4 linked regions of the Mus musculus genome follow. The protein of the gene in region 2 interacts with the protein of the main gene of each other region in a biochemical or structural test. Links are inferred from orthologs where the notes say so. Each region holds a gene or a part of one and is shown on either strand. Other genes may lie near its edges. The genes, in order: Ranbp3, Xpo1, Ranbp1 and Adar.

Evidence for each region.
Region 1: the proteins of Xpo1 (region 2) and Ranbp3 form a complex in vitro, tested with the Homo sapiens proteins (2 studies listed by BioGRID). The link is inferred for Mus musculus from reciprocal best matches to the Homo sapiens genes XPO1 and RANBP3.
Region 3: the proteins of Xpo1 (region 2) and Ranbp1 form a complex in vitro, tested with the Homo sapiens proteins (3 studies listed by BioGRID, with this or other methods). The link is inferred for Mus musculus from reciprocal best matches to the Homo sapiens genes XPO1 and RANBP1.
Region 4: the proteins of Xpo1 (region 2) and Adar form a complex in vitro, tested with the Homo sapiens proteins (2 studies listed by BioGRID, with this or other methods). The link is inferred for Mus musculus from reciprocal best matches to the Homo sapiens genes XPO1 and ADAR.

Annotation. Positions count from the first base shown.
Region 1 is NC_000083.6:56,698,712-56,705,680, reverse strand, and holds part of Ranbp3 (ran-binding protein 3), read right to left. Parts: intron 6,574-6,969; exon of another isoform or gene 6,464-6,573; intron 4,659-6,463; coding exon 4,593-4,658; intron 4,233-4,592; coding exon 4,140-4,232; intron 2,919-4,139; coding exon 2,791-2,918; intron 225-2,790; coding exon 111-224; intron 1-110. UniProt on the Homo sapiens protein: Acts as a cofactor for XPO1/CRM1-mediated nuclear export, perhaps as export complex scaffolding protein. Bound to XPO1/CRM1, stabilizes the XPO1/CRM1-cargo interaction. In the absence of Ran-bound GTP prevents binding of XPO1/CRM1 to the nuclear pore complex.
Region 2 is NC_000077.6:23,252,900-23,260,363, reverse strand, and holds the start of Xpo1 (exportin-1), read right to left. Parts: upstream 4,324-7,464; 5' UTR 4,204-4,323; exon of another isoform or gene 3,721-4,203; 5' UTR 3,647-3,720; intron 1-3,646. UniProt on the Homo sapiens protein: Mediates the nuclear export of cellular proteins (cargos) bearing a leucine-rich nuclear export signal (NES) and of RNAs.
Region 3 is NC_000082.6:18,244,195-18,251,871, reverse strand, and holds the start of Ranbp1 (ran-specific GTPase-activating protein), read left to right. Parts: upstream 1-3,177; 5' UTR 3,178-3,309; coding exon 3,310-3,324; intron 3,325-4,446; coding exon 4,447-4,583; intron 4,584-6,513; coding exon 6,514-6,671; intron 6,672-7,677. Other genes in the region: Trmt2a (tRNA (uracil-5-)-methyltransferase homolog A), read right to left, coding at 212-323, 398-513, 602-716, 871-1,052, 1,310-1,418, 1,839-2,386, 2,621-2,641. UniProt on the Homo sapiens protein: Plays a role in RAN-dependent nucleocytoplasmic transport. Alleviates the TNPO1-dependent inhibition of RAN GTPase activity and mediates the dissociation of RAN from proteins involved in transport into the nucleus.
Region 4 is NC_000069.6:89,727,607-89,735,208, reverse strand, and holds the start of Adar (double-stranded RNA-specific adenosine deaminase), read right to left. Parts: upstream 4,492-7,602; 5' UTR 4,399-4,491; coding exon 4,371-4,398; intron 368-4,370; coding exon 1-367. UniProt on the Homo sapiens protein: Catalyzes the hydrolytic deamination of adenosine to inosine in double-stranded RNA (dsRNA) referred to as A-to-I RNA editing.

The sequences.
Region 1 (6,969 bases), on a different chromosome or scaffold from region 2:
TTCTTAGTGGGATGAGGGCCCTGGGCAGTGAATGTCTAGGAATATGTGACTGTCACATGTACAGAGGCTACACTTTTGTTCAACTGCCCAACACACACCAGGCCAAATACCTTCACTCTGTCTCTCAAGTTCTGTCCAAACACAAAGGCCTGTGGGGCCGCCTGCTCCTCTTCACAGTGCCCCTCCTCTGAGGTGCCATGTGGGGTTTTCTGAGGCACCTTCTCCTATAAGGAAAAACAAACAAACAAACCAATATTTACCAACAAGACAATGGAGTGCTCAGGAGCCTGGAAGTCAGCCAAGCTCACACTTTCCTGGAAGCTAGGATAACTCTCTTGGAGTAGGCACCATTAGAGAAAGGCCTAAACCCCAGATCTGTGCTGCGGGCTCCGGGATCTGAGAGAGGGGATGATGCTCGGCCTGAAGTTTAAACTGGCCAACACCAGCACTCCCCTGCTTCAGTAGAGCTGAGGGAAAGGATGTTTCCAGCTGGATAGCAAGGGGGCCTGTGGAGAGCTCAGGACCCCAGGGCATCCCTCTGAGAGGCAAACTCGCTTGTGGTGCAGAGAAGCCCCAGGTGGAAATGAGGTAGACTGTGAGTATCACAGCCAGTACTCAGAAGACTCCTCCAAGGGCCCATTCGTGGGGACCTACAGCTCAGGCAGGAAGACTCTGCATGTCAGAGTCAACAGGGCACATCACCACACCTTGGTGCCAACAGACCTAGAACCAGTACCAAGGATCCATCAGGCAAGGGGATAAACACTCAGGATGTAAACTATAAACAGTAAATGGCAGACACCAAGTAGCAGATCAGATGAGTCACTAGAGGAAATGGTGGGACGTGGGTCACAGATGTGAGATCCCACTGCAGAGATGACAGCAGGGAGCCTAACGTCCCAGGCCATTCTCACTTCCACCTCACAGCTTCAGTATGTTTTTTGTTTTACACAAGCTTACATTTATGTGTGTACATGCCTATGTGTGCATGTATAGAAAACCAAGAACAATCCCCTGGACCAGTTTGAAGGAATCACCATGTGAATCCCAGGGATCCAACCTACGTCCTCAGATTTGGAAGGAAGCATTTTTAATTCACCGAGCCCTCACTGGCCCTTCTAAATGCTTTCTTCTTACAAGTGTGACTCCTCTGAGTAAAAGGTCTTGATCACTCATGTGACCTGGATAAAGAGAACTTGAGTCCAATACTCTAGCTGCACATGGACGGTGGTGTAGAAGAGCTCCAACAGGTCTATGACAGCAACTTGCAGTGTACGGCAGGGTGGTGAGACAGTTCTGAGTTCTCTGCTAGGCTGTTAAGAATTTAAATGTTTCTAGTTGCTTGATACCTTACAAATCTGGCTCCATTCTGACTCTCTCATGGCCCAGGTGATCGTCTCCTAGCCACAATACCACTCTGTCTTCACTGAGCTCAGCACCACTGATCAGCTGTGTGGTGTTGGCACTGTGAATCAGGAATGGCTGATAAAGTCGGGGTCTTGCCTGCTCTTTCCTTTTTTTTTTTTTTTTTTTTTGAGACAGGGTTTCTCTGTGTAGCCCTGGCTGTCCTGGAACTCACTTTGTAGACCAGGCTGGCCTTGAACTCAGAAATCCACCTGCCTCTGCCTCCCAAGTGCTGGGATTAAAGGTGTGCACCACCACGCCTGGCCTTGCCTGCTCTTTCTACGTGATCAGAAATAGTGAGTTTGGTGACCCTGTCCACTCCAAGACAGCTTGGGAGTGAGGCTTACATCTGGAATGTGCAACTTTGGGCTCAAATCTGGGGTGGCACAGAGAGAGAATTCAGAGTCAAATCAAAGCTGGATACTAAGAACCCAGCCTGCTAGTAAGGTGGAGCAGAACGTCCTAAGCTGAAGGAGTTGCACTGTGGAGGGAGTGTGGAAACTGCAAGAGGGTGACACAAGTAGACCCTGCGTGGTGGAGCTAGATGCCAGCATAGCCTGGCTGGAATCCGTACCTAACTGGGAGCTATTCCTACCCCCACTTAGGGCACTGAGGTGGGATAGACATTTTCTCAGTGAGATCAGAGACATCATTATGCCTGTGACTCTACACAGTGGCCAGCCTGGGAAGCGGGTCACCATCACAGCCCTCATCTAGCTGCTGCTGGCACTGCCCCTAGCCTTAATCCTGGGTCTGCACAGGCACCTCTTCTCTCTTACGCCAGCTTTTCAGGGCTGACTGCCACAGCACCAGTCATTCTGAGGGTTCATCTGGGACGCTGTGGGGGAGCTCTGGACCTTGTCATGGAGACATAGTAACAAAAGTTGTTCAGGAGCTCTCTGGGAGTGGGACCATCCTGACAGTGACTGACAGCCTATCAACCAATGCCAGGTGTCCACTGGCTAGGCTCTCAGTCCCTGGTGTGGTGTGGGGAGGACCTTTGACAGGATCGTGTGGAAGTGAGTAAGTTACAGGGGCACTGTCCTTGACGCTCTGCTATCCTTTCCAAGACTGCTCATGTCACGAGCACTCCCAAGTGAAGTGGGCTGTAATCAGCTAGGGGCAGGAGAGCCATAGCCATGCTGCTCATGTTTCCAACTTCTAAAACTATGAGCCAGTAAATCTTGTGTCTCTGCAAACGCCCTTCCTGGAAAGAGGACTAGACTGGGAACAACCTTGTATAAGAGCAGGCAGCCTAAGAAGCTGCCCAAACTAAGAGTGCTGGGAACTGCTATAGGCCTTTAGAGACCAAGAACCCACACAGACAGCACACCAGAGCCTGGCACTGCAGCCCAGCCACCCTGGCTGTCCCCATGACCGACCAACCTCGAGTGTGTGTGTCTCCTCGGCAGACTCAGAGGGACTCCTCTGCGTGAGGTTTTCTGGTGATACAGACGTTGCTGGCCCCGTGCAGTCTGCTGGCATACTGACTCCATTGGTGCCACTGCTGGGAACTGCAAAAAGGAAAGAGAGTGGACAGGTGTCTCCCAGCCCTTCAGCAGCTAACTAAGCTGCTAGACTCTGAAGTTCATTCATCCTGGGCTGTGTATAGTGATGAGAGCTTTTAATCTCAACATTTGGAGGCAGAGGCAGGTGGATCACTATGAGTCAGAGGAAAGACAGATCTAGACAGCAAATTCTAGGTCACCTAGGGCTATATTTAAGAAAGGAAAAGAGGAAGGAAGGAAGGAAGGAGGGAGGGAGGGAGGGAGGGAGGGAGGGAGGGAGGGAGGAAGGGAGGAAGGAAGGAAGGAAGGAAGGAAGGAAGGAAGGAAGGAAGGAAGGAGGGAAGAGAGAGAGAGAAACAAAGAAACAAAGAGAAAGAAAGGGAGGAAGAAAAAGTCATATATTCTTAAATTAAAAACAAAAGTAGGCTCAAAACTCACAGACATGAAGAGCTGCTGCCTTTATTCTAAAAGACACTGTATTAGCATATAGCTTAGGATGCTCAGGGCCAGGGATGCATCCTCAGGACTACACGCACGCGCACACACACACGAACACACACAAGACATGAACAAGAACTGGCTTCTAGTGAGCTCAGAAGCAGGACTCCCAGAAAACGAGCAGTAAAAGGAAATCTATCACAGATTGCTCCATGCAACTGAAGGAGAGCCCGGCCTGTGTGTGTGGGGTCAGCATCCAACCCCAGCACCTCATACAATCACAAAGCCAGAAGGAAGCTGGAATAGTGGTGTGTGCCCACTATCCTGTGAGAAGGAATACAAAGTGAGTTCAAAAGGAGCCTGGGCTGGCTGCACAGGGTGATACTGAGTCACAAAAATCCAACTAAACCAGGACAAAATGACAACTGCCCTACATGCCAGGTCCATCCTACTTACCCCCAAATCAAGATGAAATGAAACAGGAATCTTTTAAGGGTCTATACTATGGCTCTATCCGGTGGACTCTGAGCAATGGACCCAAGCAGACTTTGGGTGATTAATCAGCAGGAGATTAACCAGGTCCAAAGTGGCTAGGTTACTTCTGAGTTTTGAGTAACAAGACCAAAACCCAGCAAAGCTGGAAACCCTTGCAGAGCAGCTTAGGAGGTTGACAAGAGACCTGGGGACACAGAAAACCTTGGCAGTACCCTATTGAGGTTCCCCTCAGGATGGGACTAACCCAAAGGGTCCTCTTGCCTCTGTACTTCAAACTGTGTCTCAGTCCCTTACCCGTCTGCGACAGCACCTTGGGCTGAGGGGCCTGCAGCACAGCTGGACGGAGCACACCACGCTGCTGTTCCCTGGGTTTCTGGCTGGGCAGACCTGGAACACAGTGGATTCTAGGAACCTTGACCCTGCTGCTCCAGGGCACATCAACTTCTATGGTTGTGCAAGGGAGGCCACACTTAACACCAACACTTTATAGTGACAGACACCTGCCATTGAGACCTGTGACAAGGTCCAGGTCTTCCTTTGCACTGTGCCTCCCACAGTTTGCACGGTGCAAAGGAAAATGGCCAGGGCTGGTACAGGGTCACATGAGTTCCCAGGAAGGAGATACCCTGCTCCCATAGGTCAGAGCAACTTCCCAGGGCTGCCTCCATGTCAGTCCCAGTCCCAGGAGCAGACTGGGCCTACAGCAAGGGTCCTGGAGCCAGGCAGAGGCCTGCAAATGTCACCCACCTGCACTGGGTGCCTGACCGTGGATGAGTGTTGGGGGCTTCAGCCGGAAGCCGCTGCTCTTCTCTTCTGCAAGGATAAGACACAGCTGAGCTCAGCCTGTGGAGGCAGGAGCACAGCGAAACAGGGTGCATGGTAGGCCTGGGACCCCAGAGAATGGTCCAGGCTACAACAGAAAAGTAGGAGGTCCATGTTAGAATATGGTTCTGTGGCAAGGCCAGCACAGGGAACCTGGAGGATGAAGATGCTGAGACAGAATGACATATCTGCTAGACTCTGGGCCACTCCTCCCAGGAAGGTGAGTGATGGCACTACTGGGTAGGCCTACAACAGAGGACATGTACGCTCATGACCACAGGACTAGGGCAGGACCTGCCTCCCAGACATGCCTGTTACTCAGTGCCAGCTCTGCCAGCCACTCACAAGAGCTAGGAGATAGAGCTGGAGCTGCAGGGACAGCTGGGAACCCAGTGAGTCTGCATCCTGGTGACCTTGTCCTGGTGATGGACAGCTAGTCTAATGTGACCCAGGACAGGAGGAAGGTATGAAAAAAATGCACAGGCCACAGGCAGACTCGGAGGCTCATCCATCAAGCAGACAGATGTTAACCCCATCCCCATATGCACAACCCTCCTGAAGGAAGCAAAGAATAAAACCCATGGACAGAGGCCAACAGCAGACAACCCCCAAACACAGAGCTGAGAGACTGGCTCGGTAGGCACAATGTCTACTGTGCAAGCATAAGTGCCTGAGTCCCAAGTCGGGCATGGTGGCACACACCTTTAATCCCAGCGCTCAGGAGGCAGAGGCAGGCAGATTTCTGAGTTCGAGGCCAGCCTGGAGTACAAAGTGAGTTCCAGGACAGCCAGGGCTACACACAGAAACCCTGTCTCGAAAAAACAAACAAACAAAAAAGTGCCTGAGTCCCGTCCCCAGTACACAGCACAGCTCAGTCCTAGAGCTGGGTATTTATGGGCAGAAACAGGAATGTCCTGGAGCTCTTTGGCCTGCAGGGCCAGCCAAATCAATGAGACCCCGCCTCAGGAAGGCAGACAGAGTGATGAGTATTGGCAATGACCTCTGGTCGCCAAATGCACATGCACAGGTGAGCACGCTAGCACCCCACAATACATGCACATCCACACATACAAAAGGCAGAGTCTTAAGTGAAGAAAAGCTGCTATGGTGCAGGGCCCATGGATAGGAAATATCCACAAGTGGAGGCAGGAGGCAGATTCATGACACCCATAGCTGAGGATGGAGGAGGCTGAAGAAGGACTGCTCACAGGGATGAAGTTTATTTGTAGGTGACAGCTTGATACTGGACACACTGATGCCACTCCAGCATCTTGTCACATGGGCTCTGATAGGAAACTGGTCACACTTGAAAGCCCAGGGGACACCTTGGAGGACACCTAGTCAGAGCAGCACTCAAACCCTGGGAATAAAGAGCTAAGTCCACTAGCCACACAAGGCCTAGACAAGTGACAAAGCAGCCACTGGAGCCAGCTATGGAGTGGGATAGAGGCCTTCAGGGGGGGCAATGCTGGACCACACTTTTCAAACCTGAGATCAAGTTCATAAACTGTATAACTAGAGGACCCAAAGGCTGGCTTTAGGCACCCCTTGGTTATAGGTCTTTAGGGTCCTGTTCACACAACCTTTTAAGACTTGAGGGTAAGCCAGGTGGTGGTGGCACACGCCTTTAATCCCAGCACTTGAGAGGCAGAGGCAGGTAAATCTCTGTGAGTTTGAAGCCAGCCTGGTCTGCAAAGTAAGTTCTAAGACAGCCAGGGCTCCACAGAGAAACCCTGTCTCCAAACCCCAAAGACTTGAGGACAACACAGCTGACCACAGGGACTGTAGCCACTCACCTGCACCAGTGTGGGGCCCAGAGCCTGGCCATTGTGTTGGCATGCAGGAATCCAGCAGGGCACTGCTGTGACCACATGGGACAGACAGAAGGCAAGCCTCCCTGTTGACACTAAGTGGGCAGCCAAGGCTTAGAGTTCTGTTCCCAGCCCCACCCATAGAGACATACACCCTGGGCTCTTCTCAGGTCTTGTAAAGACTCACTTTGCTAACAGTAGAGGTTACATTGCTCAGGACCGGGGGAACCCAGGCTTCACCCTCCTATAGCTGGCTGGTTGGGTACATGCCACAGATGGGGCAGAAGGGGAATGACTAGGTGAGGGGGAGCTCCCTGCTTAATTGGGAATACACTAGAGACTGAGCCCAGTTGGCCTGAGGCTGACAAAGCTCCCAGAGCAGTAGCTGGTGTGACTGAGCACTGGGCAAGAACACAGCTGGCCAGGATGGCATGGCAAGAAGATGACAAGTAGAGCCAGGTTTCTTCCTCAGGCTCAATGTATAGCTGAAA
Region 2 (7,464 bases):
TGCCACCCTTCTGTCTCAGACTCAATATACAGCTTGGAGATTACAGGCTGGATCCTCTCCTAACTATAGAGCTGCATATGAATACTCTGCCTCAACCTTCCAGGCATTGCAACTACAGGTGTAGTGTGAGCCACTACATTTGGTTTGTAGTTCAAATTTAAACAATTTTGCATACCATTTAAAGAGGATACTTTAAGCATATCCATAATACCTTTTACAGCAGTTTACAAAACCTCCAGAATTTGGAAAATGAATAGCGTGCTTGATCACGCAGTTTCTGAATAATTAGGTTGGTATGAAAAAAGTTGTGTTTTTAAGAATTTACACGGGGCTGGTGAGATGGCTCAGTGGGTAAGAGCACCCGACTGCTCTTCTGAAGGTCCAGAGTTCAAATCCCAGCAACCACATGGTGGCTCACAACCATCCCTAACAAGATCTGACTCCCTCTTCTGGTGTGTCTGAAGACAGCTACAGTGTATTTACATATAATAATAAATAAATCTTTAAAAAAAAAAAAAAAGAATTTACACTTTACTGGGTTTGTGTGTGGCTCTGTGTGCCAGAGTGCAGGTGCCTGTATAGGCCTGAGCAAGGTGGAATCCCACTGAGCTGGAGTCGCAGAGATTATGAGCCACCCAGAATGGAGACTAGGTCCTCACCAAGAGCAGCAGGAATTCTTAACTGCTGAGCCATTCTGTACCATCCTTTTCTTAAAATAACAGTTTGAAACCTGTACAAAGTGGGCCTTGGTGGTCTAGTCCTATATCCCACCACCTAGGAGGTGAAGGCAGAAGTGTGAATTCCAGGATACCTTGGACTGCAGAGATCCTGAATAAAAAACACCTCAGCCTTTCAGTGAAACCTGGCTCAAAACACAGCTAGGACAAGTAGTTTCTCCGCTGTATTTCTGTAGTAGTGCTGCTGATACTTCAATACAAAGGTTTTATTAATCATGCCCAAGATAAAACTTAGTTATAATAAATCAAAGATTAGGTTTGGCTCAGTCAGTGAAGTGCTCTACTATGCATGAACTCCTTGGTTTCAAACCAGAAGTGTGCATCTGGAACCCCAGCGCTCTTGACACTCAAATCAGAAAACCAAGACCAAGCCTCATCTACATACAGAGTTTAAGACCAGCCTGAGCTATGAAGCCCTATCTGAAGTAACTAACAATCAGGCCAAGGCTGGGGGGTTTTTGTTGTTTTTTGGTTTTTCAAGACAGGGTTTCTCTGTATAGACCTGGCTGTTCTGGAACTCAGGTTAAAGGCATGCACCACCACCGCCCGGCATACTACTGTTAAAAGACAAAGGCAACAGAGTAAGACCTATCTGTGCTCCCCACTCAAACTCCTCACGAGTCCAAAAATTCTTTCATAGGTAGATATGCTCACATTTACACTCATGTAAAGATAAAGAAACTGGGCTGGAGCCCGGCAGTGGTGGCCCAGGCCTTTAATTCCAGCACTTGGAAGGCAGAGGCAGGTGCATTTCTGAGTCTACAGATTTGAGTTCCAGGCCAGCCAGGGCTATACAGAGAAACCCTGTCTCGGAAAAAGAAGAAAGAAAAGAAAAGAAAAGAAAAGAAAAAGAAAAAGAAAAAGAAAAAGAAAAAGAAAAAGAAAAAGAAAAGAAACAAACAAACTGGGCTGGAGAGATAGCTCAGTGGCTGTGCTTCCAAAGGACCCTGGTTCAATTCCCAGCACCCACATTGATCTGTAACTCTGGTTTCTGGTTTTCTGACACCTCCACAAAGACATACATGCAGGCAAAACACCAACAAAACATAAACTAAAAGTAAAAATAAATTATATATTAAAAATTAAAGAAAGCACCTGGGAGGTGAAAGGACAATTAACACCAAGGCCAGTGTTAAGAGATAAGACATATGCAATCCCAGAAGAGATGGAAGCACAGACTGGAATACACAGTGAGACTCTGTCTGTCTTAAGAAGGGAAAAACAGAACACTAATATACAAGAAAAATAAATCCCACTAACAAATAACTATTCTTTCCAATAACTTCAAGTGTCATAACTTTTACAGATTAAAACAGATTTTTCGAGTTTATGGTTAAAAATTGCAACCAACTTGTCTCAGACACTATCTCAATTTATAGTTCTTTAAAAAAAAAAGTAATGATTAAATGTTTAGTCAAATGACCCTACACTTAAGTCCTAAGTTTCATTTTCAAGTTGGTCTTCTCTAAGAATTCAGATACTAGACTCATGTGGGGGAAGGGGTGCAATCTAAGAATACTTAAATACAGTTGTTGGCCTTTCTCGGAACTAGCGGTTATCTTCCAACTTCAACTATAGGTAATCCAGAAATGGCGGCTCTGTGGTCAATGCCAAGCACATTTAGCAGCCCCAACCAAACAGCTTCCAAATAGTCATTCCACCGTCAGCCGTGACACCCACATTCAAGATACAGAATCATGCAGTAAGTAGTGCAGCTATGGAGGGATTGTTCACTTTCTGATTGGTTCACCTGTCTCGTTGGTGTCCCCCAATCCCAAATTCCACTCACTGGATTGTGAACTGTAGGAACCCATCAAACAATGCTGTGACTCTACAAGTGATTGTCCATATACCTTCAATGGCACTGCAAGCAGCAAAACACTACCCACCAGTAGCCATCTAAAAAGGTAAGTTCACAATGAGTCAAAAAACAAGATGCTACAAAAGACTGCTACTCCGTGTGTGGGCAATCGCCTGCTTCATTCAGTAAGAAACACACGCCTCACTAGGAAGGGACCGCCCTCCCCTGGCTTCCCACCCGAACGACTCTCAGCACTTCTAACTATAGCTCACAGGAGCACGCACTCACCCCGCCCATACTCGGAGGAGGCATTTAGACCCGGCGCCTAAGTTCACCGCCCTATTCTCTATGCAGCATGTCCTCTGAGTGATCCGAGGTCCCGCCTCGGCGAGTATTCAGTGCATCCTCTACCACCACTTCCTCTCCTACACCGCAAACTCAAGAAACCAGAAGGAGGAGCAGGGAGGGCATCATTCACTGTCCACGGCCAGCAGTACACGGTTTCACCAAGACATATATGCCCCGGGCGAAAACAACCTACAACACGGAACCCCAACTGCAGGCCCCCGAAAAAAAGAAATTAACTCCTCTTTCCTACTTCTTGTTATACACACACTCACAAAACCAACAACAACAAAAATCACCCACAAGGCTTTCGAGTTTCTTCACATAAGAAGGGACTCGGTAGCCCCTCCCTCCCCCATCCCAAGCTCTCCACCGAGGGGGCCACGTGATGCAGGCGGACGTTTCAATGCTGCTGCACTAAATATTTCTGGAAACTTCCACTCCTAATAATTTACAGAGACGTTCCCGAAATCACCCCCGACTCTCCCCAGCCCTTTGGACTGGGGAAGCCCTTCCACCCACGCGCAGGGGCTCAGCCTCACTACCACGCTCCTCGCCTTCCTCCACCGCCACCCGCACACGAAGATGACCCAGCAAGCGCTCCCCTCCCGCGGCCGCCTCCCCACCTCCATCACCGAGCGACAGAAGCGCTTCCATTCAATCTCAGGCTCCGCCGAGGGCCCCGCGCCCGCCGCCCGCCTCGCCTCATGCCCGCCGCGCCGCCGCCGCCCGACCCTCGGCCCCGAGCACACGACCGACTTACCCAGAAATTCAACCAACTGCTTCTTCCTTCCTTGTCCGGGCTTGGGGCGAGGGAAGGTGGGGAGGAGGGAGAGGGGAGGAAATCAAGGTGGGTTTCACAGTTTTCCCACCTTAAACAAAAAAGAAATTAAAAAGCAGAGAAGGGCAAAAAAAAAAAAAAAAGCTCAGTATTTACTATTCTAGGGACAACTCCACCCAACACACACTCACGCACACACACGCGCGCACGCACACACACGCGCCCCACCAAAAAGGGGAATTAATCCGAGAAATAAATGCTCCCGCCCGGCTGGGGAGGGAAGGAAGGGGGAGGGGAGCGGGCCAGTCCGTGAGACAGAGCCCAGGACCCTCCAGCCACAGGCGGCGGCGGGAGCAGCAGCGCGAGTCCGTACGGCCGGGGCCGCTCTGCCGCCAGTTGCAGTCCGGCTCCCCCTACCACACAGGGCTCCCTCGCTCACGCCGCTCCGGCGCCGGGCCCCCCCACCCGAGCTAGCCTAAACTTTCCCCCCTTCGCGTGCTCCTCAGCGACTGGTGCCTCCCCCCTCCCCCTCGGGATGGTTGCACGACTGCTGCAGCAAAGGCTGGAACAGGCACGGCCGCCGGGGCTGTAGCTACTGTTGCTCTTGCTGATGCTGAAGCTCCCGCTGCTCCTGCCGCGGCCGCTGCAGCCGCTTCTCCCCCTCCTCCTAGTGCCTCAAACTCGGAACCGGTTGAAACCGGTTCAGACTGGGAGATTCCATCTCGGTTGAGTTTTCAGCCCATGGCGCCGCGGAGCGTTTGGAACCTGGGCCTCCGCCCCCAGGCCGCGCGCCCATTGGTCGGCCCCGGCCACAGCCGCGCCATCAGCCTACCTCTTATTGGTCGGAGCGCCCGTCAATCCCACCTCAAGGCTCCACACGAGCCTGCCGCTTAGGCCCCCGCCTCTTTCCAGCAGTGATTTGCCCGCAGAGTGGGGGAGGGGAGGCGGGGCGGGACGCAAAGGAGTGAGGGGGGGGTGGAGGAAGAGAAGGTGGGACGTCGAACAGAGCCCAGCAAAGAGGAGAGCGGAGAAGCCTCACAGAGGATTGGCTTGAGTGAGCTGTCAGTCAAGTGCAGCCCGCCTTCTACATCCCTTTCCCCTCGAGTGGCTCCCCCTCTCGGTCCCTCGCTTGTAAGCCCGGCCTTTCCGGCTCGCCCATTGGCTGGGCGCCTTTGGTGACGGAGAGGGTGGGGTTCGCCCGTGAGCAGAAGGCAGCGCGGGTTTGAGCGCCGCGCGCGTTGCTCGTCTTTCTGCTTTCCCCCCCTCCCCGTTCCCTGGCGGCCCGCCCCCTCGAGCTCCCGCCAACCTCAGGGGCCTCGTCCTGGGGCCCCAGCATCCGCCCTTAGGATGGGGTCTGTGCTCGGAAAAGGGAGGGCACACCCTGTTTCTACATGGAAATAGACGGCCGCGAAGGACCGAAAAGAACACATAGGTGCCGGATGGTAGGCCCTGGGCCTTGGATCCGTTGTAGAGGCCTGGGTTTGGGCACCGCATGGGAACGTGAATAGCACGGGCCGAGGTTGGCATAAACGGGCGTGCAGTTTGGGCGCCTGGAAACGGTTGTCTAGTTAGTTATTGGACGAGCCTCCTTAAAAATTTAACTCTCTACCGGGCAGAGGTGGCGCATGCCCTTAATCCCAGCACTTGGAAGGCAGAGACAGGGATTTCTGAGTTCGAGGCCAGCCTGGTCTACAGAGTGAGCTCGAGGACAGCCAGGGCTACACAGAGAAACCCTGTCTCGAAAAAAAACAACAACAAAAAATTAACTCTCCCCAGACTGCTTCAACAAGAAGTTATTTCTAAAAATTAGTCCTAACACATTGAAAATCCTGTTGCTAACTTAACAATGCGTATAGACAGATTTTGTGCCAACTTCTTTTAACTTGGTGCGTGCCCTTATTATGCCACGCCCCTAGGTTAACCCATGGCTCCCAAGTGCCAGGTCAGTTTTGCTGATTAGGGTTGCTTAAAACAACCAGCAGTTGGGTGGTGGTGACAGAGGCAGAGGCAGGCAGATCTCTTGAATTCAAACAAGCCTGGACTACAGAGCAAGCTCCAGGACAGCCAGAACTACAAAGAGAACCCTATCTGGGGGAAAAACAGCCAGCAGTCCACCAAAATCGACTGGTCTGTTGTGCCACAACATTTATTAAGTCAACACAGTTGACCTGGCATATTGCACAGGCCTGAACTCCCAGCACTTGGGAAGAAGTGACAGGAAGAATAGGAATGCAAGGCCATCCTCAGCTACAGAATAAATTCAGTGTCAGCTGGAGGCAGAAGATGCTATCCCTATACACAAAAACAAATATTCGGAACACAGATCTGACACTGCTTATACATTTTCATTACCTTCAACAGTTAAAAACAATCCTACCCCCAAGGATAGAGATATGGAAATGTAAATAAACTAAGTCGAATACCTGAATTCAATGGGTATGGAAGACCTTATGTGCAATGTTCTATTTAATTCTTTATAATCTCGTGAGGAATTTATTTTGTTTGTTTGTTTGGGTCAGGGGCTGCTTGGCACAGCTCCAGTGAGGAAATGAGAGCACCTTGTTGAGTTAATCCATCGGTTCCTTTTTCTTTTTTTGAGACAGTGACTTGGTGTATAGCCCTTGTTGGCTTAGAACTGGCAGAGACCATCCTGCCTCCGCCTCCCTAGTGCCACTGTATCCTGTGACTAAATAAATTGCAGGCTGACCTTAAATTCAAATTTTCCTCTGTTTGTCTCTAGTGCTGACTGGAATTACAGGTATATGGATGCCTTTCTGAAAAATAGCCTTTGTGGCTTGGCACAGTGGGACACACCCTTAGTAGAAAGACTGGGGAGGCAGAGGCAGGCAGATCTCTGTGAGTCAAAGGCCAGCCTGGTCTACATAGAGAGTTCCAAGCCAAACAGACCCTGTCTTAAAAACAAACAAACAAATCGTATTTTTCCAAGTGTGGTGGTTCATGCCTTTAGCTATGGCTTGCTGTGGTGGTTTGAATAGGTATGGCTCCAACATATTCATAGAATGCTTGTCCCATAGGAACAATTAGAAGGAATGGCCTTGTTGAAATGGGTATGCCCTTGTTGGAGGAACTGTGTCACTGTGGAAGCAGGCTTTGAGGTCTCCTAAGCTCAAGCTATGCCCAGTGTGGCACACAGTCTTTCTGATGCTTGCAGATCTCTCAGCTCCTCCCGAACCATGTATGCCAGCAAGCACTCTGCCATGCTTCTTGTCATGCTGATACTGGACTAAACTTTTGAAACTATAAGCCATCCCCAATTAAATGCTTGCTTTTATAAGAGTTGCCATGGTCGTGGTGTCTCTTCACAGCAATAAAATCCAAACTAAGACACTTGCCCAGAGCTTTCTGTTGTTTTTGAGACAAGGTCTCTCTATGTAGATCTGTATGTCATAGAACTGGCTGTGTAGACCAGGCTGGCCTTGTACTTACAGAGATGTGCCTGCCTTTGCCTCCTGAATGCTGGGATTTAAGGTACATGCAACCATAACTCTTGCTGGCCTAGAATTTGCTGCACATACCTAGCTGGTCCACTGTCTTCCCTCTCTCTTGAGAGCTGATCGCAGGTGGAAGCAACCACTCTTCATCTCTTCAGTATTTCTAGATACAGGATAGTCCTACCCCAGTGAGACAGTATTTGAACAACCCTGAGACTCTGTCTCAAAACAAATCAAAGAACGTTTCCTTTAAAATAAATCAAAAGAACATTTCCAGCCAGGCACTGGTGGTGTGCATCTGTGATCCCAACTGTGAATGAAAACTCCTGAAAAGAAACTTTATGTGCA
Region 3 (7,677 bases), on a different chromosome or scaffold from region 2:
GAAAGTGATTGATCCTGTTCTGGGTTCCACAGAGTGCAATAAGGCTGTGCATTTCACTGGCTAACTGCAAAGAGGCCAATCACTAGCAAATATCCCTTGTTATCATATACCTTATTCTGGGGCCCCCAGTACCTGAGTGTGTTCTATAAATCTTTGATGCTAGTTACTGGCTTCCCTCCCTCTGTGTTTATGCTCACAAGGGGTATGCTACCTGGAAGAATGCATGAGGGGAGATGCGGAAGGTCAGCCCTAGCAGGTCTTCCTGAATGCACTGGTCGCCAGCCATATGCTCCAGGGGCAGGCCTTCCTGGCTGGGAGTCTTTCTATACAAGAGAAAACAAATCTGTCAGGGTCACTGGTCTGTCTGGCCCCTCCTGCCTCCACCTGGGCTCCTCACCTCTGTCCCTCCTCCACAAAGTAGAGGGAGGTCACCCCACTGGCCTTGCCTGGCCCCTCCATGAAGTGGCACACCAGGGAGGCCTTTAGTCCTGCCACCTCCTCAGAGCTCAGTTTCTGTAGTAGATGATATAAAACTCCCATCAGGCTATGCAAAAGCCAACCTATACCAGACACATCCCCCAACAGGACCACCACCTGAGACCTGGGGATGGAAGTAGGCAATGGCCATGGCCTGGCCTCGGCTGCTGGTACGAACAGTCAGTTGCTTCCAGTGGCCTGTATATGTCTCAGGGTCATATGCCGAGTATGGTGTGGAACTGAAGAAACCACAAATATACTCAGTGTGTGCCCATCTGTCCTGGTACCTTGTCCCCTTACCCCACATCCACAACTGCCAGTGCAGGGGCCACCCCCCTTGTCCCAGATGGATCAGGGACTTCCCAGAAGCCCAGCCCCAGGCAAGGTCCCCACCGGATGAATTCCTGGAAGGCCTTCACCACCTGCTTAGTGGCCTCTGGAATGTGCACAGTGTCAAAGGGAGCTGCCACAGCACATGTTCCACCCTTGTACTTGCCAAGCCGGCAGCCAACTGTGTTGTCCTTGCCGTCTACCCCAACTCCGACCAGGAATTCACATTTATTACGATATTCAGTCTGTAGGAGTGTAGTAAAGAGTCAGATCTCAACCTTGATTACCCAGCACTGGAAGAAGAAATACCATAGTGAACAAAAGACCCAGATTTGCCCAAGGGGTAACAGAACAAGATTTTACTGCTGGCTTATCAAACATTGGGAAGAAATGAAAAGCAAGAAAAATATCAAAGAGCATATGCATAATAAAATTGACATGAACAAGGGCCAGCCTCCCAAGCCCCCCCATCCCCATACACACAGAATGGGATTTCTCTGACCTGCTGGGGTGATGGCTTGACCCCCTCCAGGGGGCAACAAGCTTTATTGTGCTGTTGTCTCTGTAAAAGCAGCCAGGGTAGCAGGGCACGATTAGTGTTCCCAATTTCTCTGCAGGATGAAATACATCATGGTTGGATTTAACACTGTTCCCCATCCATACTGGGCAATTCATTTGCGACCTCACTATCCCTCTGTTGTGGGCCTTATGAGTTCTTTCGTTGACCACTTCAGACTGGTGGTTCTCAACCTTCCTAATGGTGCCTGTGATCCTGTAATCATGTTGTGATCCCCGACCATAACATTTTTTAATTTTGTAGTTGTAATCTGCTAATGTTGTGAATCATGATGTAAATGTGTTTTCTGATGGTCTTAGGCAACCCCTCTGAAAGTCTGGTGACCCACTGGTTCCCACCAATGGTACAGAACCATTGACATAAACTCTGTGTGTATCTTGAATTGCTTACATGGCTAATGGACCAGGCCAAGAGCAAAACCCAGCTCTGCTTGGGATGTCAGCACCACACTCACTTGGCCAGTTTCTGTAGCACCCGCTCACATTCCAGTCGCTTCTGCTCCAGCTGCTCAGTGTAGGGCACTGTCCACAGAGGGGTCACCACATCGGCAATTTGTGTTACTGATGGCTCACTATCACCTTCTTGCCGCCTCTTCCTAGCCATGGGGTCAGCCTTGGGTCGGGCCAGGCGTACGCTGAGCGGACAGCCTTTCCAGAGAGCACCGTGCAGCACTCGCAAGGCCTTGTCTCGTTCAGCAGCGCTTCGGAATGTTACAAAGGCACATGGTGGCTGTCCAAAGAGTTTGATTTTGTGGGACTGTAGACCAAAACGGCCTAGAAAACGCCGGACGTCACTGAAGCTGGCGTGGCGAGGTACATTTTGGAGCTCCAGTTTAAAGATTTCTGATGTGAACAAGTCATCCCTTATGTAGCTGTAGAGCCCAGGCTGCGTTCCAGGCCCTGCAGCTGGCCCAGGCCCTGCTTCCTCTTTTTGACATAGTGGGGCCGCAGAGCTGGGTACAGCACTGGCATCCTGGCCGCAGTCCTCCATGGGCTCCGGAACCTACGTGGGAACAGACGGGCCTGGCTGAAGGCTCTAATTGGTATGACTCGCTCCCCCAAACCGCTGACAGATCTCCATTAGTGCACACTCCACGAAGCCCTGGAGAAACCCGTTCTTTTACTCTCGAGACCCAATTCTCCCCCATCCTATCTTTGATCCGACAGTAATGACTGCTGCCCCAACCCACCTCCGCCCACCCCGTCCACATCTCCTGCACGTCTCCCTTTGCTTTACTTCCGCGGCCGGCTCACTCATCTCCTGGCTCGTCTGTTGCCCGGACCAGGGTGCTCACGAGGACCACCGGCTCGGCCTCCCACCCAACAAGGGCGCAGATACGAGGTACGCCGCCGTGAAGGTAGACCGCAGCTCCACACAGGGACTCAAAACTCGGGTGCTCAGAGCTGGGACTGAGGTTTGCGGATGCACTGTCCCCAAGGGCCACACGCTGCGCCTGCCTTCGGCTGGCCAGCGCACACTAGCTGCGTCTCCTCTCTCTAAGGGCTTGGTTCCGATGACGTCACCGCCGCGCGCCGAGTCCCGACTGATCCTTCCAGCAGCCGCTCACGCCAGCGTCGGAGGCACTCAGCCTGCAGGCGGAAGTGCGCGCGTGGGTCGCCGGGAGAGCGCGCTCCCCGGGCTGAGGCGCGGCCGGGCATGCGCCGCGGGCGTTTTGGCGGGAAGCGCGGGGCGGGCCGGACAATGAATGTCCGCTGTCGGAGCCAATAAAGCTACACTGGTTTTGAATCACTGCGCGTTTCCCGCCGCTGGGGTCAGGGGTCAGGGTTCGGGTCGGGGGGCGGAGGGAAGAGCGGACGGGCGGGAGCGCCGGCGCCAGACGCGGAGGAAAGGAGCTGCGACTAGCCGCCCAGAGGCCGCCGAGCCAGCGACGCCTGAGCTAGTCGAGCCACCGTCGCCGCGCCCCCATGGCGGCCGCCAAGGTACAGCGAGGCCCGGGTGGGGCAGGGCAGCCGGAGAGGCAAGGGCCGCTATGGGCGGCCACGTGGGCGGCCCGCGCCTCGGCCTCCAACCCTCGCTGGCTTGCGGGTTCGGGGCCTGTCGAGGCGCCTGGGCCTGGGGTGCTCGAGGTCTTTGGGGGTCCGCGAGTGGGAGCTGCTGGCCAAGACTCCGATCTCGGGGTCTACAGGGCGGCGCGTGACCTTGTGGTCTGCGGATGAACAGCCATGCCCAAACTGGGCTCCCGGCTTCACCTGGGGACCTGGAGGTGGCCGATCTCCTCCGTCGTGGCCCACTTGTGATCTTCCCATTAGGGGCGGCAATCCTCCTTCCAGTTGCACGCAGACCCCTTCATTCATTAGGACATTGCGCCTTCGGTGGGGAAAGCTCGCGTCCCAGCGCAGGGTACAGATATTAGACGCGCGGACTCTGGGCGGGGGCGGCTTTGTTGGTGGCTCGTGTGTCGGCCGCAGCTTAGCCGCAGTGCTGAGAAACCGAACGAAAGGTTTCTGTTTCTTTATCCTGTTGAGTTAGGTAGTGAGTCTGGGATTTCTCTATATTATCAAAGCACGTGATCTTGTCAGATTTAAACATGCATGTCCTTGTAATTCTCCAAGTTGAGTCAGAATCTTAGAGCTTATTTGTCATACTTTTCCTAGCTTCTTTCGGCTTAAAATTTCAAGCTTGGGTATTATTGCTGGAGGGATTGTAAACTAACAAGTGCTTGGATAACCCTCAGTAAAAACTGTTACGGCTGCTCTTCCTTTTGAGTATATCATGTTCTTTTTCATGGTGGGTATTTTTTTTTTTAACAGAAGAGGAAGTTTCTCCCAAGCTACTTTGCCAAGGACTTGGGTGTGTGTAACCCATTGATGTTTGAGTGTGTAGGAGTGTCAAAATACACAGTCTTGTTTCATGATATCCTGTGATTTTTTTTTTTTTTTTTGTGATGCTGGTTGTAAATACAATCAGATGATGTGAAAGATAAAACCAAAGGCTTAATTTCCAATTTGGGGAGGCATTTTCCAGATGCCATTTGTGATTGATGATGCCCATTGTGGACCGAGTCCACCAGCCAGCAACATCACTCTACCTTCTCTACACAGGACAGTCACGAGGACCATGATACTTCCACAGAGAATGCAGATGAGTCCAACCACGACCCCCAGTTCGAGCCAATAGTTTCTCTTCCCGAGCAAGAAATTAAAACGCTGGAGGAAGATGAAGAGGAACTTTTTAAGATGTAAGTCTGTTAAGGGGTCCTGGAAGTATCTTTAGATAGGCTGACTGAGACAGAGAGAAAAAAGAGTGGACAGGAAGCAGGTCTCTGCAGGCTATTTCTTTCACATTTTGCAGTACCCAGCAACCATAGTTGGACCACTTATGTTTACCTCTTCAATTTCTAGAGGAGCCAGCCAAGCTAGGAATTCTGTCCCTTGTATTGTTTCTCTTTCAGGTATAAGCCTTAGTGATATGTTCTGGCATAGCCTCTTTGTGATTTCTATCTGGAACTGCACAGAAGAATTCTAGGGTGGCTGGGCACACTGATTTCTGTGAATTTCATGGCTTGGACCCAGCTTGATAAAGGCTGTTTTAAGAAAGTGCTTGGAGATGTATGGTGACTAGTCTTACAATGAAAATTCAACCATTTCTCAGCCAAAAATGTTGCCAGGTTATCCTGCTGCCTTGTGGCCAGTCATGTGAAGGTTGTTCCCATCACTGTTCTGTGTCATCTGGGTGTCTCCAGCAGGCTGTGGGGGCTCACACTTTTAGTCTCAGCACTTGGGAGGCAGAAGCAGGTAGATTTCTGTGGATTGTAGATCAATCTGGTCTATATAACCAAGTTCCAGGACTACATGGTGAGACTTTTTTTGCTGGGTGGGGGCTCCCTTTCTTTGTTGAGCAGAGTCTTTGCTTTTCTTTGTTTTTGCTTTGCTGTCTGTTGCCTTAACTGTATCCTCAAAGATTGAGGTTTGTTTAGCCCTTGTTAATTGTTATGTGTGTATGGGCATTTTACCTACATTGATGTCTATCTACACAATGTACTAAAGGAAGCCAGAAGAAGGTAGTGAATCCCTTGGGACTAAAGTAACAAGTTGTGAGTATCCATTTGGACCTCTGGAAGAACAGCCAGTGCTCTTAACTGCAGAGCCAATTCTTCAGCTTCCAGCTCATGGTTTTTCAGGTTAGAAAGTATGAGATCTGAGAGTGTAGTGCTAGCAGTGGTATGGACCTCATTCTCATGTAAAATCAAGAGAATTTGCTAATGTCAAATTTTCAGTTATGCCTAAGATGTTTGTTAGAGGTTCTCTGCTCTGAAGGGAGGGAGGGAAGGAGGCTGCCCATGGAGAGCCATAAGTACACCCTTGTACTACCTAGAAGATGGTGGTCCAGAGCTCTGATCCACAACAGTGGGTGAGGGTAGCATCTCCCTGAGTTACGTGGTACTTGATTTTGTCCACTTGATGCTGAAAGTACCCCAGTGTCCTCGGTATTGTGCTAGAGACAGCATATTGTGCCTTTATATAAGGGCCTTTGAGCTTTCTCTTAAGGAGTTAAGTGAAGATGCAATCTCCCTGGACAAGACTGAATTTGGAGGAGAGCAGAGGCTTTGTAACAGCAAATGCGGGCTACAGAGGAGAAGGGTGCTGGCTTGGCAGGAGAGCCAGGTGTACTGGACTCATTGCAGGTACTGTGTACCTGAAACCTGGAGGCTATAGGTTCCTTCTGACAGGAAGCTGTTGCTGGGCCTCTGGAAGATAATATTCCTAAGGCTTTATGTAGTTACAGGGCATTCATTTAGTGTGAGTAGGTTGTCCAGACAGACCTGTGGCTTCTTTACCTACTGAGGGTCATGTGTATCCTTAGATGTGTCTCTGGGGGAAAATCCTTTGCTATGAATATCTTTCTGCAACCTGGTATTTGTTGGCCTATTGTGCTCCCCTGGGTTTTATTTTGCCTAGTAATTCTTGGTGCCCAAAGCCCATTGAAGAAGGTTTTTGGGGAAGACACAGTGTTCAACAGTTCCCTTATGTTCAGTGTCCAAAGAACACTTTGTGGCAATTGGTCCAGGTGTGAGTTCCCTCTCTGTTAGATGAAGAACACTTTGTGGCAATTAGTCCAGGTGTGAGTTCCCTCTCTGTTAGATGTTTCCATACTGGCTTCTCTTACAGGCGTGCAAAGCTGTTCCGGTTTGCTTCAGAGAATGACCTCCCAGAATGGAAGGAGCGAGGCACTGGAGATGTCAAGCTTCTGAAGCACAAGGAGAAAGGGACCATCCGCCTTCTTATGAGGAGGGACAAAACCTTGAAGATATGCGCCAACCACTATAGTAGGTGGCCTTTCAGTCTTTAGACCCTGCAAGTTTTAGGAGTTGGTTACTGGGGGGGGGGGGCATATATTTATGACACTTATTGTCTTTTTGTAACAAGTCTCTGAACTATGACAGTGAATTTAGGCTGTGGGCAAGATAGGTCCAGGGTAGATATAGACCTCCAGGCTAGACTTATGTTATCTGGGCAAGTTGGAGCTATCCCGTGCCAAAGCTGCCTTCTTTTTACTTTCTGTTATGTTCTCCTTCTAAGCTGTTTTCTGGGATGATATAGGAAGGAATCAGGCTGACAAGAAGGTAAATGAGGAGGGCTCTTGGCCAGGTGTGGTCTTATGTACCTAGAAAGAGGTCTCAAAGAGCCACCCCTCCCTATTTGTTTAGATCCATCTTGAGCTGTGTAAAAGTACATGGATTTACACCCTCCTTTAAAGGCCTTGAAATAATGCACTATAGCTGGGCAGTGTTGACATCTGTTCTAACAACTCAGTCACATGCCCTGTTACCTGCCATCAAGTCTCACCCTGGCTACTCCTGCTCCATTGTGTTCTTTTGGCAATTCCTCATCCACTGTCTCCACCCAGGACACCCTTACTGAGATCAGAAGTCCCACTTTAACTCTCTTCCTCAGCTATAGGCTGATCAACTCTTTATAACCAATCAGAAGTAAGGGAGAATAATTTTTATACATCATTGAGATGGGAGATGCTTCAGTAATCATGACAATACTAACACCAGACTGTAATCAGATCTCTGGGCACAGTGCACAAAACCATCCTCTACTCTTGATCCTGGTAGATTCTCTAATGCAAAAATCTACATTTTCTAAACTTGAAAAAAAATTTTTTTTCTTTCTTTTGGTGGGGATGGGGTCCATGTATAGACCAAAGAACAATTTTGTGGAATCTGTTCTTAACACTTTCACCTGAATTCTAGAATCATACTAGATTGCTGAGCTTACATAGCTAGTGAGGTATCTGTCCAGGGCAGGTATCTGTTCAAACTCTCA
Region 4 (7,602 bases), on a different chromosome or scaffold from region 2:
AAGTGTGAGCAAAGCCCGTCAGCACCTCTCCATGGTGTACCCCTGCTGTGTGGGGGAGGAAGTGGGGGTCCTATGTGGAACCCCTGATTTCTGAGAGTCACACTCCTGGGGAACTCCCAGATTTCCAGTTGCCTGTCTTGGGCAGGTGGCCCTGGGAATCTTGGCCAGTGTCCTGGGAGGAATGGCGGCAGTGACTGGGTTTGTATTCCAATCAAGGGTGCTTCTGGGAGCCGCCCTTTGAGAAACTCTATCTGCTGAAGCTGGAAACTCCTAGGGTAAGACTCCGGCCCCTGTGGCTGCGGGTATCTCCACTTGCTATGCTCATGACTAGGGTCCAAGTACGACTGTGTCTGGTGAGGGAACACCCCTGTAGAAGGCAACATGGAAGACAGAGCTTGAGTCAGAGCTACATATGAGCCTATGTTCCCTAGAGTTTGTGCTTAGGGAAGCTATCCCTGCTTCCTAGCAGGTGGGGTAGCTGAGCTGTGGCCGAACTAAGGTGACTTTAGTTCACTACTGGCTACTGCTTGGAAGCTCATGAGAGAACAGAGAGAGGGAGGAGGTTGCAAGACACAATTTCAGATGCCTCAATGAGACCTCCAACTTAACTCTTGCAACGGGATATTAGGAGGTTGGTGTGGGGGGGAGAACACTGATCTGGTCCGTGGGTCAGTCAACAGGGTCTGCAAGAGAGAAAGTGGGGACTGAGGGGCAAGAGACTCGAAGAATGGAGACAAGACAGGTTATCTGATCAAGGATCAAGTATCAAAGTCTCAAGTCTCGTTTATTGGAAGGCAGCTATGGGTATATATGTACTAGCTGGAGACACTTAACCACAGGTCCAGGATGTATAGGAGAAAAACAAGATGTTATCTGAGTGTGTTCAACTGTGGTGGGCTTCTTGCAAAAACATCATGCTAGGAAAACAAGTCTCTCGTCAGGGTGGACAAGTACCACCTGTAAGTAAATAGCCCGAGATGGCTGCAGAGATGATAGCTGATTTCTGCTGAGAGTTGGCTCCCAACAGAATACCTTTCCACTTACCCCTCTAACTACCCTCCTAAAACTGGAAAACACAGCTAAAAAGTGGGCAAGGGCACTTGTCACTGACTTGGTGCTTTGGACATACATGTGATGGAAGAGAATGACCTTCTGCTGATCACGGCATGTGCAGGATGGTATATGCACCATTACACCCCATAAACAAACAAGTGTAAATCTAGAAAAATAAGCAAATGATATTCAAGAAACAAACACAATACTGAAAGTGAGGAAAAAGACAGGACGTGGGGTGTGTGAGATCAGCCCTCTGAGTGAGTCAGGCTCTCCACTACATAGTACAGCCCCTTTAGTCTAAAACTCTGTCATGTGGATAATCTTGACAAGCAGAACTTAAGGCTGGATGAGACGGAAGTTCACCTCCTCCCAGCTGAGGGAGGAGTGTAACAGCAGGAGCCATCTCCATGTGGTAAGAGGGCCTCAGTGAGTTACCTGTCAGTCACAACCCTGACGGACCAAAATTTGGGTACAGGGACTCTAGAGAGTTGCCATCTAAAAATGTCATGTGGTCCTCCCTCTTCAGTTGGCACCCAGGCTCACCTGGATATGGAGACAGGCAGGGTCTCATCACCACTACCAGTGGTCCTCTTACCTTCCCCAGGAACTGCCAGAGGCAGCCTCTAAGGACACCTTGCCATGAACAGCCTGATGGGGAGCAGTGGTGACAGAGGTCATGGGGTGGAGGGCAGTACATGAGGTGCTGTCTCTGACGTGCCTCACAGCCTTCCTGACTCTCCTGAAGGCTACAAGAGCTGGGCCACCGCCTTCTGTTTCCCATCAGTCATGACTGGGAATCTTACTGTCCTAATCACTTTTGTGGTACCTAACCCTGGGCTCCTCAATTCCCATGTGACCACAATCTTCACCTTTCAGCTACATGATGTCTTTGTCTAGTGACCCTACCTATATCACTATTATATAACATGTTTGTATCCATCAAACCCTGAAACTCTTTTCTGGTAGGTGGAGAGCATTTTCTAGTAGTGGCTAGATAACGATGGGCAGCATATTCAGAACCAAAGCCCATACAGACAAGACCATCCCTGGTCTTCTTTCTGCGCCCATCCCACAGGGCTTGGGACAGAGGTGTCATGGTGCTTGACATGAGTAGCCCAATCACATAGCTCAACAATGGGGGCTGTAGGAGATCCAATTAGTTTTTTGAGTGAACTTAGAAAGAAGACATTTTCATTTCAAGGTTAAAGTCAGTTTCTAGATAAATTACTTTTCTTACACTTATTTTATTTTTATGTGTATAGGTGCTTTGCCTGCATTTATGTCTGTCCACCACATGTGTGTCTGGTGTCCACAGAAGGCAGAGACCCTACCTCCCCCCAGAACTGGACAATGTGACACAATAGTAGCCACTGTTCTTATCTGCTGAGCCATCTCTCCAGCCCTAACTACATTCTTGATTTAAATGGCTATTTTCAGACAAAATCTGGGAAATATATGTGCGTAGCTACAAAGTAGTTGAATAAGTTATAACAGCCTCACACTGTGGAACATTAGTCACAATTTCTGAACATCTGTGTTGGATACATTTGCATTTTTACTACAAAAAATTTGTATATGTGAAAAGTGTAAATGGTAGAGTACATGTAAGTTAAGCTTTCTTCTGTTGAAAAGAAAAAACCTGGTTTGGGGGGGGGGGGAAGAGAAGGGAGAGAGAGAGAGAGAGAGAGAGAGAGAGAGAGAGTGAGTTCATATATGCACAAACACTAGAATAGGCACAGAAGAAATGAAACTAAGGAATTTACTCAGTTATTTCGGGGAGGTAGGACCAGAGAAGGAAACAGAACATGTAGTGCTATCTCTGACGTGGCTCACAGCCTTCCTGACTCGCCTGAAGGCTACAGGAGCTGGGCCACAGCCTTCTGTCGTGACTGGCAATCTTACCATCCTAACATATAATATCAAACATGGCTCTTCAAACACCATTCTAATCCTGCCTTCCATCTCTAGGACCAACAGATAAGTCCTTTGTCTTTACCATCTATGATCCATAGGTGCATACTGTAGTATATGTAAAAAGTGCTTTCCTTCAAGTCAGATGCCTGCAATATTTTGAGGGAAGGTAGACACACACACACACACACACACACACACACACACACCATTAAGAGCTGGGGAGATGACTCAGTGAGTAAAGCGTTTGCCACACAATCTTAAGGACCTGAATCTGAATCTCCAGAACCCAAGAAAAACAAAACAAAACACAGTGTGGTATAAAAATCAGTAATTGTGAGACACTTGAGGGTATAGGGGACCAAGAAGAAAAATTCCTGGAAGCCTGAGGGCCCAGTTCCGAGGCTGTCCTTTGTCGTAGAAAGAAGTACAAGTGTGCCTGTACATCTGCAACATTAAAAGTTGGTTGTTGGAGTAGGGTTTTTTTGGTTTGTGTTTTTGAGGCCATCTACACAGCTTTGGCTGGCCTGGGACTCAGAAATACCTGCCTCTGCCTCATGAGTACCATCATACCCCCCAAATTACAACACACACACACACACACACACACACACACAGTAGTAGAGCATTTGCTTATCAAGTGTGAGGCTATTGGTACATCCCATATAGCTTTTTAAAATTTTGAAGGATAAACCTGGGTGGGACATGCCTGCAATTCCAGCTCTAGGGAGAAAAGACTGGTGGCTTGCTCAAGGGCAATCAAGGCAACACAAGACAAGTAGAAACTGCCTCAAAAGCAAACAAACCAGCATGGTCAAACCAAGGCAAGGAACAGTCCTAATCCCACCACAGGGTCAGTTTCCATCCCCGCTGCTTTCCAGAATGACAGATCCAGTGCTGTGCACAGCATGAATCCTCGGAATCTGGGTTTTTCTGTTCAGAACGTTGCAGCTGGGGCTCATGTACGACATCACAAGTTCATTTTAGTGCTAAGTAGAATTCCACGAAGCTTACCCAGTGCGCTACAGAAAGACACCCTTCTTGGCCATAAAGCAAAAGACTTCCCCCTGCTGGTTAGTTGAGATAATTTAAATTTCTCAGGAAGTTGAAAAAGCAAAGAGGATCATGAGAAAAGTTGCTCATGTTGGGCTATAGCGGCTCAGCAAGGCATCAGGGGTCTTAGCAGAAAGAGAAGGGGTGTCTGCCCCGGCCTGGGTCCTTGTCTGGCTTAGACGCTGGTCTATCTTCTGACCAGCCTCCTTCCTGAGACTGCTCAAAGCTACAAGAACTAACTGAACAGAAATCCCCAGAAGGGCTGGCAGTTCGGCTTGAGAAGGAGAACGTGACCCTCGTAATTCACACTACGCGAGCCAGATATGAGGGTGCAGACCCCGCGGGCTTACCTGTGGGTCCCCTGAACCCTTGAGACATAGTGCCGGCAAGGCCCGCACCTGTGGCCGTAAGATGGCTGGCTCCCCAGAGTTCACTTTCGTTTCCTTGAAAAGGCTTCCCCGCCCAACTGTTGGGCCAAGAGGAGGGAGGGGTTTGCTCCCGGTAGCCGAGCAGCAGCATCCTGCCCACCATAAGGGCTGGGCCGCCGTAGTCCACGCCCACCGCCTTCCTCACCACTCCACCTCCACTAGCAGGGCACTATATACGTTCTCTGAGAGCTTGGGAGCTATTTACTTCACTGACAAGCTTATTTTTGTTCACGGTATTTTGGAAAGCTTCACTCAACAGCGCCCTCTCCGCCCTGTGAGGAAGTTCCTTTTCCGTGTTTAATCCCTACTGCTTGCGAGATTTACAAGTCTGTCCACTCCTAGAGTGACCATTGGCCAATGCCCTGTCCCCACTAGCCTGTCCTTCATTCCCCCTGTTGGCTGCTCCAAACTTCCTATCTTTTTGTAGATAAAATTCTTTACCTTCACGTATTCTGTTCTTTAGCCTAGAATGTTCCTCCCCCTTTCCTTGTTTTGTTTTTGAGACTTCAGAGGAATTCCACTTCCATATCCCTGGGTACCTGATGCGTTTGTACCAGTGTCAGCACCCAGCACATGGTGCAAGTAGGCCAGCATATGGCAGTCTGGGCATCTAGTGTATGCTACAACGTCAGCACCCAGCAGCACACACAGTGTAAGTAGAAGCCCCAGCATGTAGCAGTCTGGGCAAGATGGATGGCTCAAAAGTCACTCCCAATCATGTCCTCCCTGTTTGGTATAGCTGCCTGCCTTCAGTGCTCCCGGGGGCACTCCAGTGGGCAGGGCTGTTCTCGCCTATATCCCCTGCACAGTGAGTCCCAGACAGTCATAGGTGAGTGGATAATAGTGCACTCTAAGTAAAACAATTTGCGGAACAGAAACTTGGGGGGGGGGGGATAAAAAATGGCAATCAACACAGGAAAAGAGCTCAATCTTGTGCCATCAGGGAAACTCAGGAAAGGTCACAGTGAGTAGGTGTTCTTGTCCACTCACCAGTGTGGCACCATTAACTAGCACATAGGAGGACCAAGAAGGAGCAACCCCAGTCACTGCAGGAAGTCATTACTTAGAAACACACCCCATGGTTTAACCATTATATGCATTTAGCAGGATAAGCTACACAACACTGAAAGCAATCAAACTAAAATAAGCAGATGTTCCCACCTTAGGATATTACACAGCAATTGAAGTAAAAACCACAGCCAAATGCAGCAGATGGGAAACAATGTAACAATACTGAAAGAAGACCTCCTGTCCCAAACCAAGCAAAACCAAGGTCAATCATGTATTGCACAAGACAGGTTCAAGTCCAAGGCATTCTAAATGGAAGGAATGTTCTGGGGGCTAATGATCCACTGAGGACCCGCAGACAGTCTCATTCCTAAACTTTGTCTCGCTCCCTTGATAACTGTCCTAACTCTCCCAGCCTCACTAGGTGGCACCTCCACTGCAACCTGGGGCTGTTTACCTTTTCCAGGTTTTCCCCTCAACTGGAGGGCCTTGGGAACAAACAGGTGACAGTCCTGTCACAAGCAGCTTACTTCCCTAGGAGCTTGGGAGCCTCCTGCCAGGTTCCAATTCAGAGGGCTACTCCTTAGTCACCACCCAAATAACTAACTCAGTTGTGTCTAAAATAAGGTATCACAACCTCCCCCTTGGCGCTTGCAGGCCAGGAAGATTTATTTATTTTATGTATAGGAATACACTGTAGCTATCTTCAGACACCCCAGAAGAGGGCACCAGATTCCATTACAGATGTTGTGAGCCACCATGTAGTTGGTGGGAATTGAACTCAAGATCTCTGAAAGAGCAGTCAGTGCTCTTAACCACTGAGCCATCTCTCCAGCCCCGAAACATTCATTTTCTAAACTCACAGGGCCTTCCCCAGCAGTCTAACTTGCTCAAATAATCTGGGAGGCTTTCAGGAGACAAAAGAATGATGTATCACCTAGCTATACCGACCCTGAGAGATGTTCTACAGATGTTGATAGCCACAACCAGCTTTTGGTTTTGTTTTGTTTTTGAGACAGGGTCTCATACAGTTCAGGGTCACCTAAAACTCCTCCAATATACAGCTAAGGCTGACTGACTCTGAGCCCTTATAATTCTGTCTCTCCCTTCCAAGGGCTTCTAATTTTGAAATTACTAGAAAGCAAGAACTGTTTTGGGTAGCTGTCCCCCTTCCCCCCAAAAAAGAGGTCTCCAGAAGAAGGGACATCCTTTTATTACTGAGTCAGAGTTCTCCAGTAAATGAAAGGAAAAGACGTGTATGCCAGTAAGGTTAGTGGTTACATAATAAAGTTATAATATTAACGACAATGCCAAAACAACTGTCAGAACAACAGCTAACAGTCCTGTATAGACCATTCCGAGTGCACATCACGCACATTTAGCTTCATGGGCAGCCCACAAAATAACTCTCTAAACCCTATGGCTCTATGTATTAAATCCTGTCTGGTACTCAAGCTGTTTGTCCTATGCAAGCTCAGTCCTGTGAGTAGTACTTGGTCAGCTGCTGGGGTGGCTCTGGCCAGTAGAGACTCAGCTATTGGCCCACATCTGGGCCCCTCTGAGTTAGGACTCAAGGTAAGGGATTCTCATCCACTGTTTTTCCTTCCTCTTCTCCCCCAGTCCCAGCCTGAGCTCTGCTCAGTCCTAGCTCCTGCAAGACAATGGCCCCATCTTTAGCTTGTGGAGTAAGTGTTGTATGGGGTCAGCAACAACAGACTGGGCCCTGAGTGCTGCAGCATTTCTTGGAAAACAGGTGGATTTCACTAACAGCCAATTTGCCAGATGGACAATTCATAAAATAGCCAATATATGGAATTTACTTTTTCTCCTTGTTTTTTGTTGTTGTTGTTTTGGTTTCTTTTTTTTTTTTTTTGAAGACAGTTTCTCTGTGTAGCATGGGCTGTCCTAGAACCCACTCTGTAGACCAAGCTGGCCTCAAACTCAAGAGATCTTCGTGCTCTGCCTGTTTCTCCCTGTTCTTAATTGAGTAGTTTTTATTCCATCTTCCTAACAGAATTTAATGGTACCATGATGCTGTCTCTTACTGTCCTAGAGCAGAGATTGAGGAGGAACCTGGGTTGGGGAGGGGCCAGCAACACTACAGGGCCTTTCAGAGCCCCTGCTGGCTGACTACATAGTTCCATAG